Linked DNA regions of Notamacropus eugenii. The protein of the gene in region 2 binds, or shares a complex with, the protein of the main gene of each other region. Links are inferred from orthologs where the notes say so. Each region holds a gene or a part of one and is shown on either strand. Other genes may lie near its edges. The genes, in order: PTH2 and PTH2R.

The links.
Region 1: the proteins of PTH2R (region 2) and PTH2 are in contact, whole or in part, in a cryo-EM structure (PDB 7F16), measured with the Homo sapiens proteins. The link is inferred for Notamacropus eugenii from reciprocal best matches to the Homo sapiens genes PTH2R and PTH2. Residues at the interface, in NP_005039.1 of Homo sapiens: Thr31, Ile32, Ile34, Gln37, Ile38, Asp68, Gly69, Leu70, Ile90, Tyr91, Asp92, Phe93, Met112, Lys117, Ala120, Tyr122, Leu126, Gln130, Pro131, Ser134, Lys137, Gln138, Phe141, Glu142, Tyr152, Arg190, Ile194, Lys197, Val201, Ile205; in NP_848544.1 of Homo sapiens: Ser62, Leu63, Ala64, Leu65, Ala66, Asp67, Asp68, Ala69, Ala70, Phe71, Arg72, Glu73, Arg74, Ala75, Arg76, Leu77, Ala79, Ala80, Leu81, Glu82, Arg83, Arg84, Trp86, Leu87, Tyr90, Met91, Lys93, Leu94, Leu95.

The regions. Positions count from the first base shown.
Region 1 is NC_092876.1:12,609,320-12,612,907, forward strand, and holds PTH2 (tuberoinfundibular peptide of 39 residues), read right to left. Parts: upstream 2,338-3,588; 5' UTR 1,610-2,337; coding exon 1,443-1,609; intron 882-1,442; coding exon 599-881; 3' UTR 564-598; downstream 1-563. UniProt on the Homo sapiens protein: Plays a role as a potent and selective agonist of PTH2R resulting in adenyl cyclase activation and intracellular calcium levels elevation. Induces protein kinase C beta activation, recruitment of beta-arrestin and PTH2R internalization.
Region 2 is NC_092877.1:306,125,451-306,129,359, forward strand, and holds the start of PTH2R (parathyroid hormone 2 receptor), read right to left. Parts: upstream 2,597-3,909; 5' UTR 1,300-2,596; coding exon 1,225-1,299; intron 1-1,224. UniProt on the Homo sapiens protein: This is a specific receptor for parathyroid hormone. The activity of this receptor is mediated by G proteins which activate adenylyl cyclase. PTH2R may be responsible for PTH effects in a number of physiological systems.

The DNA.
Region 1 (3,588 bases), on a different chromosome or scaffold from region 2:
TTTTGGACTTATGGGATGAGTAAGGTCAACCAGGAGCGTGTCGGTGTCTCATGGCTAGTGATGCCCAATTTCTCAATCTCGTCTCCCTCCGGGTACCCTGGCTTTCTTCCTTCCTCTTCTTTCCACCCTCCTGCATGCACTGCATCTCTGTAGGCTTTCCAGCCTGGGTTGGGGGCGGGCTGGGGGTCGGGGGGCGGTGGATAGGAAGGATAAGAGAAAAACGGGCCCTGGAAGGCTCAGACCCAGAGGCCCAGAAAACCAGAAACAGACCGAAAACGATGGAAATCAAGAGACAGGCAGGGATAAGATGGGGCATGGAGACAGAGAAGAGTGAGAAGAGAAAGGGAACAGAAAAACAGCCGGCCAAGACAGAGATAGAGGCAGCCCAAGAGGCCCAGAAAGTGGGAGGCAGTGGGAGACAAGGAAAAGGACACGAGCCCTGGGAGGATGGCTCGCCGGCCCCAAAGCTGCCACTGAGTAAAGGAGGGGAGTCGGGCCCACACCGGGCTGCGGTAGGCCCCCCAGGCTCCTCTCCCCGGCGCACCAAAGACACGAGGCTGAAAAAAGACGAGGAACTTTTATTGGGGGGAGCTCAGTGTCAGTCCGCGGCCGCATTGCTGACCACCAGGAGCTTGTTCATGTAGGAATTGAGCCAGCGGCGCCGCTCCAGGGCTGCCAGAAGGCGAGCCCGCTCCCGAAAAGCCGCGTCGTCAGCCACCACCAGGCGCCGTTGGGGTCCAGCGCTCGGGGCGGGGTCCTGGGGGCGGGTCTCGAGTTGGGGGCGGGGCCCGGGGGCCCGGGCGGGGTCCTCCCCGGTCAGCTGAAGACTCCAGTTCCGCAGGGTCAGAGAGGCGGGAGGCGGGACCCACGGGAGCCAGGAGCTGCAAGGTGCGGGGTGGGGATGGGAGGAGAGAGAGAGAGAGAGAGAGAGAGAGAGAGAGAGAGAGAGAGAGAGAGAGAGAGAGAGAGAGAGAGAGAGAGAGAGAGAGAGGCACCCAGGCTCCCCAATCCCGCTCACCCCATCCCGATCCGACTCAGAGAAGCGAGACCACGGCCACTCCGATCCCCGCCCGAGAAGTCCGTGGCCACACTCCTATCTCCCCAGCCTAGTTCCTGATCCCTTTCCAGCTCTCTGAGCAGACCCGTCCTAGTCCCAGCCCAGTGTGTCCCTCCAGTTTCCTCCAGAGAATCCCGCTCTGTCGCTTTCTCTCGAGCAGTCTTCGGTTCTGTCACTGAGAGTCTCTCAGCTCCCCCACCTCTGCTTCTCCCTCAGTTTTGCTGCATTGCTATCTCTCGGGATCTATCTCTTTGTATCTCTTTTCCCTGTCAGTCACTCACTCTATCTCTGTCTCTGTACGTCTCTCAACCCATGTAACTCTGCTAGTCAGGGGTTCCTGCGTGTGGCCTGGGAGATTGTCTCTGGTCCGCACCCCCATACCTACTTGGGGCTCTCAGGGCGGGACAAAACAGCCCCGGTGGTGCCGGAGATCCCAGGCAGCAGCAGCAGCAGCAACAGCAGCAGCAGTAGCCCGCACCGGCGGCGCCCCCGGCTCTTGGGGTTCTCCATCACCTGTGGGGTACACAAGTCCTGCTCAGCGGCTCCAGCCATCTCCCCAGCCCCCCTCCAGTCTCCTGGCAGGTCCAGCCCGTACCGGTCCTGTTCTGTCCCGAGCGAGGCGCAGTCTATCTCCGCCACCCCCAAAGCCCTTATAAAGGCCCTCGCTGACGCAGGCCTGGGCCGGGCAGGGCCGCGGGGTCACGCCGCCCCCAGCCTCATTAGGCTCTGCCGCCGGTAATGAGCAGCAGAGAGCGGAGGAGGCTGAACGAACTCAAGCCGGAGTTGGGCCCTAATTGGGCCCGGGAGGGGCCAGGGCTGGGTGGGGGAGAGGCGGGGATGGCAAGGGGGAAAGAAATGAGGGGACAGGTAGCCAGCAGAGAGACGGGGAATGGATGATTAGAGGGTGACATGGATAAGTAAACAAGTAAGACTCGTCATGAAAGGCGGATTCGACGTTCAGACCATCAGAGAGGGAGCCACATGGAGATACAGACAGAGGAACCACTAGGAAGAGGAAGAGAGCTTGGGCTAGACACGGCTAGACAAAGAAATTGAGGGAGGGACGGGGACAGATGGTCCAACGGAAGGGTCCGGTAACAACAGTACGGACAGGTCTACAGCGGGAGCCACATCAAGGACACAGTCGGTTTGGGAACAGTGGTAGGGAGGGTGGAACAGGAAGCTTCTTCTCCCTGACCTTTGTAAACACCCACTCCACGACACAACTCAGGGCCTAAGTGAGTCGAGGCACCCTGTAGAGATGTGACTGTCAAGTTGACTCACTGGGCTCTATAGGGTCCCAAGAGTAAGGCTTAGAAATGGGAAGAGGGAATAACACCTGGATTCCCCAGAAAAGAATGCCTGGGACCCCAGCGTGGGGCTGAACACCATCCAGGGAGCCTTGCCCGCCCCCTTCCGAGCTCTGTCCCTTTAAGAGCAGGCCCAGTCGCCTGGCACCCGGGTTCTCAAGGGAAGGACAGTGAGGTGCCTCACCCCCTCCCCAAGGCCCCGCCTGCATCCTTGTCTCCGCAGCTCACCTGCCCGAGTTCAGTTTTCTACACCACCTGCTGCTGCTGCTGCTGCTGCTGCTGCTGCTGCTGCTGCTGCTGCTGCTGCTGCTGCTAAGGCCCTGACCCTCAGGTAAGGACCCTGCACCCAAACACTCGAGGCCGCCCCAATCAGGAACCCAGGAGCTCTGTTTCCTCCCACCTCACTCCAACGCAGTCCACTTCCCACCCAGATAACGCACTGATCCTGGCTCGCCTCTCCCCCACCTCCTTCTCATAAGGGATCCCCACCAAGTAACAGGTGTCCGAGTGGCTCAGGTTCCGCCTCAGAACCCCTCCGGTGCCCAGGAGCTTCCCAAATCAAGTACCCAGTAGTACAGACCGTTGTCCTCTCCTCGTGAAGGGATCATGGGATCATAGAAAGATCCCTAAGGGATCTTAGATGCCACTACCAATAGATTTTATTGATGAGGAAACTGACCCTCAGAGAGGCTGAAATGACCAAGGTCACACAGGAAGAAAAGATGTGGCCGAGCCAGCATTTGAAACCCAGCTCCCGGAATTCCAAACGCTACTCTTTGCACCCTGTTCCCAGTCCAGGTCACTCCACCCCCACCCCAGGCAGGAGTTTGACGCCCCACTCCCCCTCGCTTTCTGGTGCACAGGCTTCCCCTCCCCCCAACCTCCGCCTCTAGGGGACCTCGCATCTTCTTCCATAGCGGGTCTCCGAGCAACTTGGATTGTAAACAAGTGAAAGCCGGTGGTGTCCCTCGGGGTATGGGGGCAATGAGGGAGGGCAGTTGACCACCAGTTCCCTGCTTCGGCTCTCCGGATCTGATTGAGAAGGCGCAGACAGTAATCAGGGTCGAGGACTGGGGAGCTAGGAGACATCCCCTAACCCTCTCGCCCCTCCAGACCTCGCCCTTCGGGGACCAACACGACTCAGGGAAGGAGGCGGACTACGAATCCCATGATGCTCGGCACTCCAGTCCCTTCGGGTTGCGAGCTCTGGTGCCCAGGAGC
Region 2 (3,909 bases):
GAAAAAATATAATTTTCAACAGTTTTCAAAACCAGAGTTTCTTGCCCATTCTACTTTGCAGATGAACTTTCCTCTCAAAGTCTCACTAACTTGAAGGTATAGTTGAGCCTAAATAAATTCTAAGTTTTCTCTCCATTTAAAATTTCTCACCTCTCTTATAAAACAGGTATCTGAGAGGAAACTGGTGTGATTTTTATTTAAGGCATTAAAGGCTTAAGACATAGTGTTGATGCCTTTTATAGTTTTCTCTCTCTTTTTCAGAAATCCTCCTTCAGTTCCTAAATTATTAGATTATAAACATGACAGCTACTTTAATGGACCATAATTGCCCTTCTAGAATTATTGAGCTTTTGAAATCTGTCATCTGAGATTAGAGAACATAATGTCATCAAGCGTGGCTATTTGGCACTGACAAAGATACACATCAAAAATTAGGAATTGCTTTCCCCAAATAGAAAAAGTGAGTGAAGATACCGTATAGGAAAGTAAAGGCGCGCCCTCTACGGTTTGAAGAGTGAAATGGCAAATAAAGGAGGATTGATTTGCAATTACTCTGTTTCCCACTTCATAGCACTGACTCGCACAAAAGTCTCAAAGCTCTGAGTTTAAACCTGGCATTTTGTCTTGGGAAGATAATCTTACAATGCAGCTGTCTTATACAAGACAGCTGCTTGGTTATACCAGGTAATAACAAAGAAATTCCCTAAACTGACCTTTGAGCTCTGACTCGTCTAGACTATTGCAAAAGTCCTGAATTAAACATAACATCAATGCAATGTTTCCTAGCCACTCTCCCTCGTTTTAAGAGATTTCCTATTTAAAATAGAGAAGAAAATTAAGATTTTAAAAAATTACACTCTTTCCTAAACTTGAAGTGACCTCAGGTCTGGTTGAATCGCTACTACACAGAACAGTTTGTCTCTGGTACTGGAGTTGCTTAAGTAGAGAAGTATTAACTTTATCTATTCTCCACTCCACCCCTTCATTATTGTCCAGTCAGTGTACAATACACAAGTATTTGCACAACGCTTGACCAGTTTACAATTCCATATTAGTCTGTCAAATGTTTCCAAGTCCAGGCTTCCCGACCACCTATGAGACTGAGGGATGATAACCCCCTAGCATTGCCCCGTGCCTTCATCTCACCTGTCTGCAGTTCTTTGGAAGGATGGGATTCCCTGGGCAGGCGTTCCCTCCTTACCTGGGCAGGCGTTCCCCCCTTACCTGTGCTTTGGTCAAGAGACAGCTGCTGAGAGCCACCCAGCTCCAGATGAAGGGCAGTCCCCCAGCCTTGACCATGGCTAATAGCTAGAAGAGGAGAGCTCAGCCAGGAGGTTGGGGGCGGCGGGCGGTACCCACTTCACAGTCCAAGGTGCTGATAACTTTCTCCCCTCTCGTCAAGCTAGTGGTTCCCCGCAGGGAATTCAGCCAGTCTTCTTGTCACGAGAGGCAAAGCAGCTGGTGCCCAAGTTTGCTTAGACTGTGGGCTGAGGCACTCCGCTACCCGGGCTGTCTGGGCTCTCTAGCTGCCATGCACTCCTTAGGACCACGTTGTCTCCAACAGAGTCAGCCGCTACTTGCTTGGTCTCTCATCTTCTGGAAAATTTCCTACTCCAGGTTTACAAACAAGCAAACAGCCTCAGGCTCTGCTTTTGCAGCAGTCTGGAAAAGGGAGCAACCATGAGAAGAAGGGGTGAGTGGGTGGGTGGAAAAAGGGGCAGAGTGGAAAGTTGTCGCAGCGCCCTGTGGATCGCCAGCGGGCACTTGGTGCCAGGCAGCTCCGCACGTGTTTGTAAGTACCTTTGCCCTCCTTGAGTTCTCTTAGCACCTCAGGCAGCAGATCAGACAGGATGGAGCCAGCGAACTGAGTGGGTCCACACCAGGGTATCAGCTCTGCTTTTACCAATACCACCTTGCCTTCTCAGTGATTGGTCCGAAAAGTTCGCTGAATGACCGCACAACCTGATTTGTCGCTGGAGGTTGTAGCGCAGATGGGATTAAAAATTGAAACTCTCAGAGCTTAAAAACTGAGACTCTCTCAGCTCTTTCGTTACAATAGTAAAGTCCTCTGAACCCTTTTCACCTTTGCCTTTGCTGCTTAAATGTCCTCAGTTTCACTGATATGCGTATTCATCCCTCCAGTGAAGCAGATTGCAACCCCACGATGCTTTAGTGGAGAAGTCTCCTTACGCAGGGACGAGCAGCATAAATAAAAAGATTCACTTTCTGGAGATCAAAGCCGTTCTATTGTCAAGAAAGCAGATTCTCTTTTCTAAGAACCACAAATCAGAAGGTGAGCCAAGATAACTGTATACATGTCAGAGACTGGCGGCTGAGTTAAAAAGAAAAAAAAAATCGACATCCTAGTAGCTTACACTGTCTGCAATACTAATTTTGCGGGAAAATGCTTGGCTCTGCTCATCCCCTGGAGCTGGAGCAAACAGATATACCTAGTTACTAGCTGCCAGCTACAACACTAGATGTCTCATCAAATCACTAACTGGTCCTGTTAACCAGGCTGCAGAGAATCCTGACAAGTTGTCAAATGGAAAATGTGTGATTAAGGAGGTTTGGTTTTAAAGTTTCATAGTTCATTAGGTTTTTGACTGCTGCCCTGCTCTAGCTCTGACCAGGGGAAAAACAAAACAAAACAGTGTGTGTTCTTTGTAGCGTAAGCATTCTTTTCATGTATATACACTATCCAGTCAATGAAATTTAATTTCCTTAAAGAGATACTCTAATTTTTTCTTTTTTTTTTCTTAATCTTCCTGGGTCCAATGAGTTTCTTAATTATTTTTATCCTAAAGCTTAGTAACTGTTTGTTGAACTGAATTGGCGTGGCCTTGATACTATCAAGAACAAGTCTTTTTTTTTTCCTTCAAAATATGTCTGTCTTGCCATTACTTCTATAAATAAAACTTGAATTTGATTCAGAGGTACAAAAATATTTGTTTTTTAGAGTACCTAACTGCCTAGATTAAGTTAAATTAAATTTATAAAAGTTAATTTGCTGCTGCAGTATCTAAATTAAGTTCAATATTCTCTTAACAATGAAGTACTGCCAATCATCTGCTCTTTTCTTTTATGCAATAACTTAGCAATAGCTTGGGAAATAGATTTCATTATAATCAACAATACCAAAAACTTTTACAGCCTTTCATTTCATTATCATGCTCTTCCTCCCACACTCCTAAACTTGAGGACAGTTATTTAATGTATAATATTCCTAATGCTCCAGATGTGCTCATGTCAATTTCACTTACCTGGTTGGCCAACAGAGATGGACAGAGGAAGAATGAGTGAATGTGAACCCTCCAAGGAACATAAGAACTTTTAAAAATTGACTAAACTAACATATAGCAAAGGTGATCAGGGATCCATCAGTGCCCTTACCCATCATAAGGCAATATAAAGCAGTTGATCCTGATGCATAACTACATGTTCACTTATATTAATTATTATCATGAATGATATCCTGCTGGATCTAGGCAAGATTCCCAAAATGCTCCTATTAATAGATAGCATTATGGTGATGGCATGGAGCCTCAGAATCCTTCTCAGTTAAATTCATAAAGATGTCACAGCTACAACATTCAAGTCATTCAAAATCAGGGAGGGAAAGCCAAGATAAAAAAAAAACAAACTAATCCTCTTTGGATTTGTAAAGCTGATCATGCACACCTGAGGACTGCCGCTGTGAATGATTTTTAAGTGTCTAATCACGTAGTTAATTTAATCAGCAATAGACTAAAGATTGTTCAATAAAGTAAAGCATAACATTCATAACAACATCTTTAAGCAAAATATATAATCTAATACACACACACACACACACACACATATATGTGGTTGTTGTTCTTTGTCTCTGAAGAGGACCAAAATGACATCACCATTGTAAAATGAAATTTC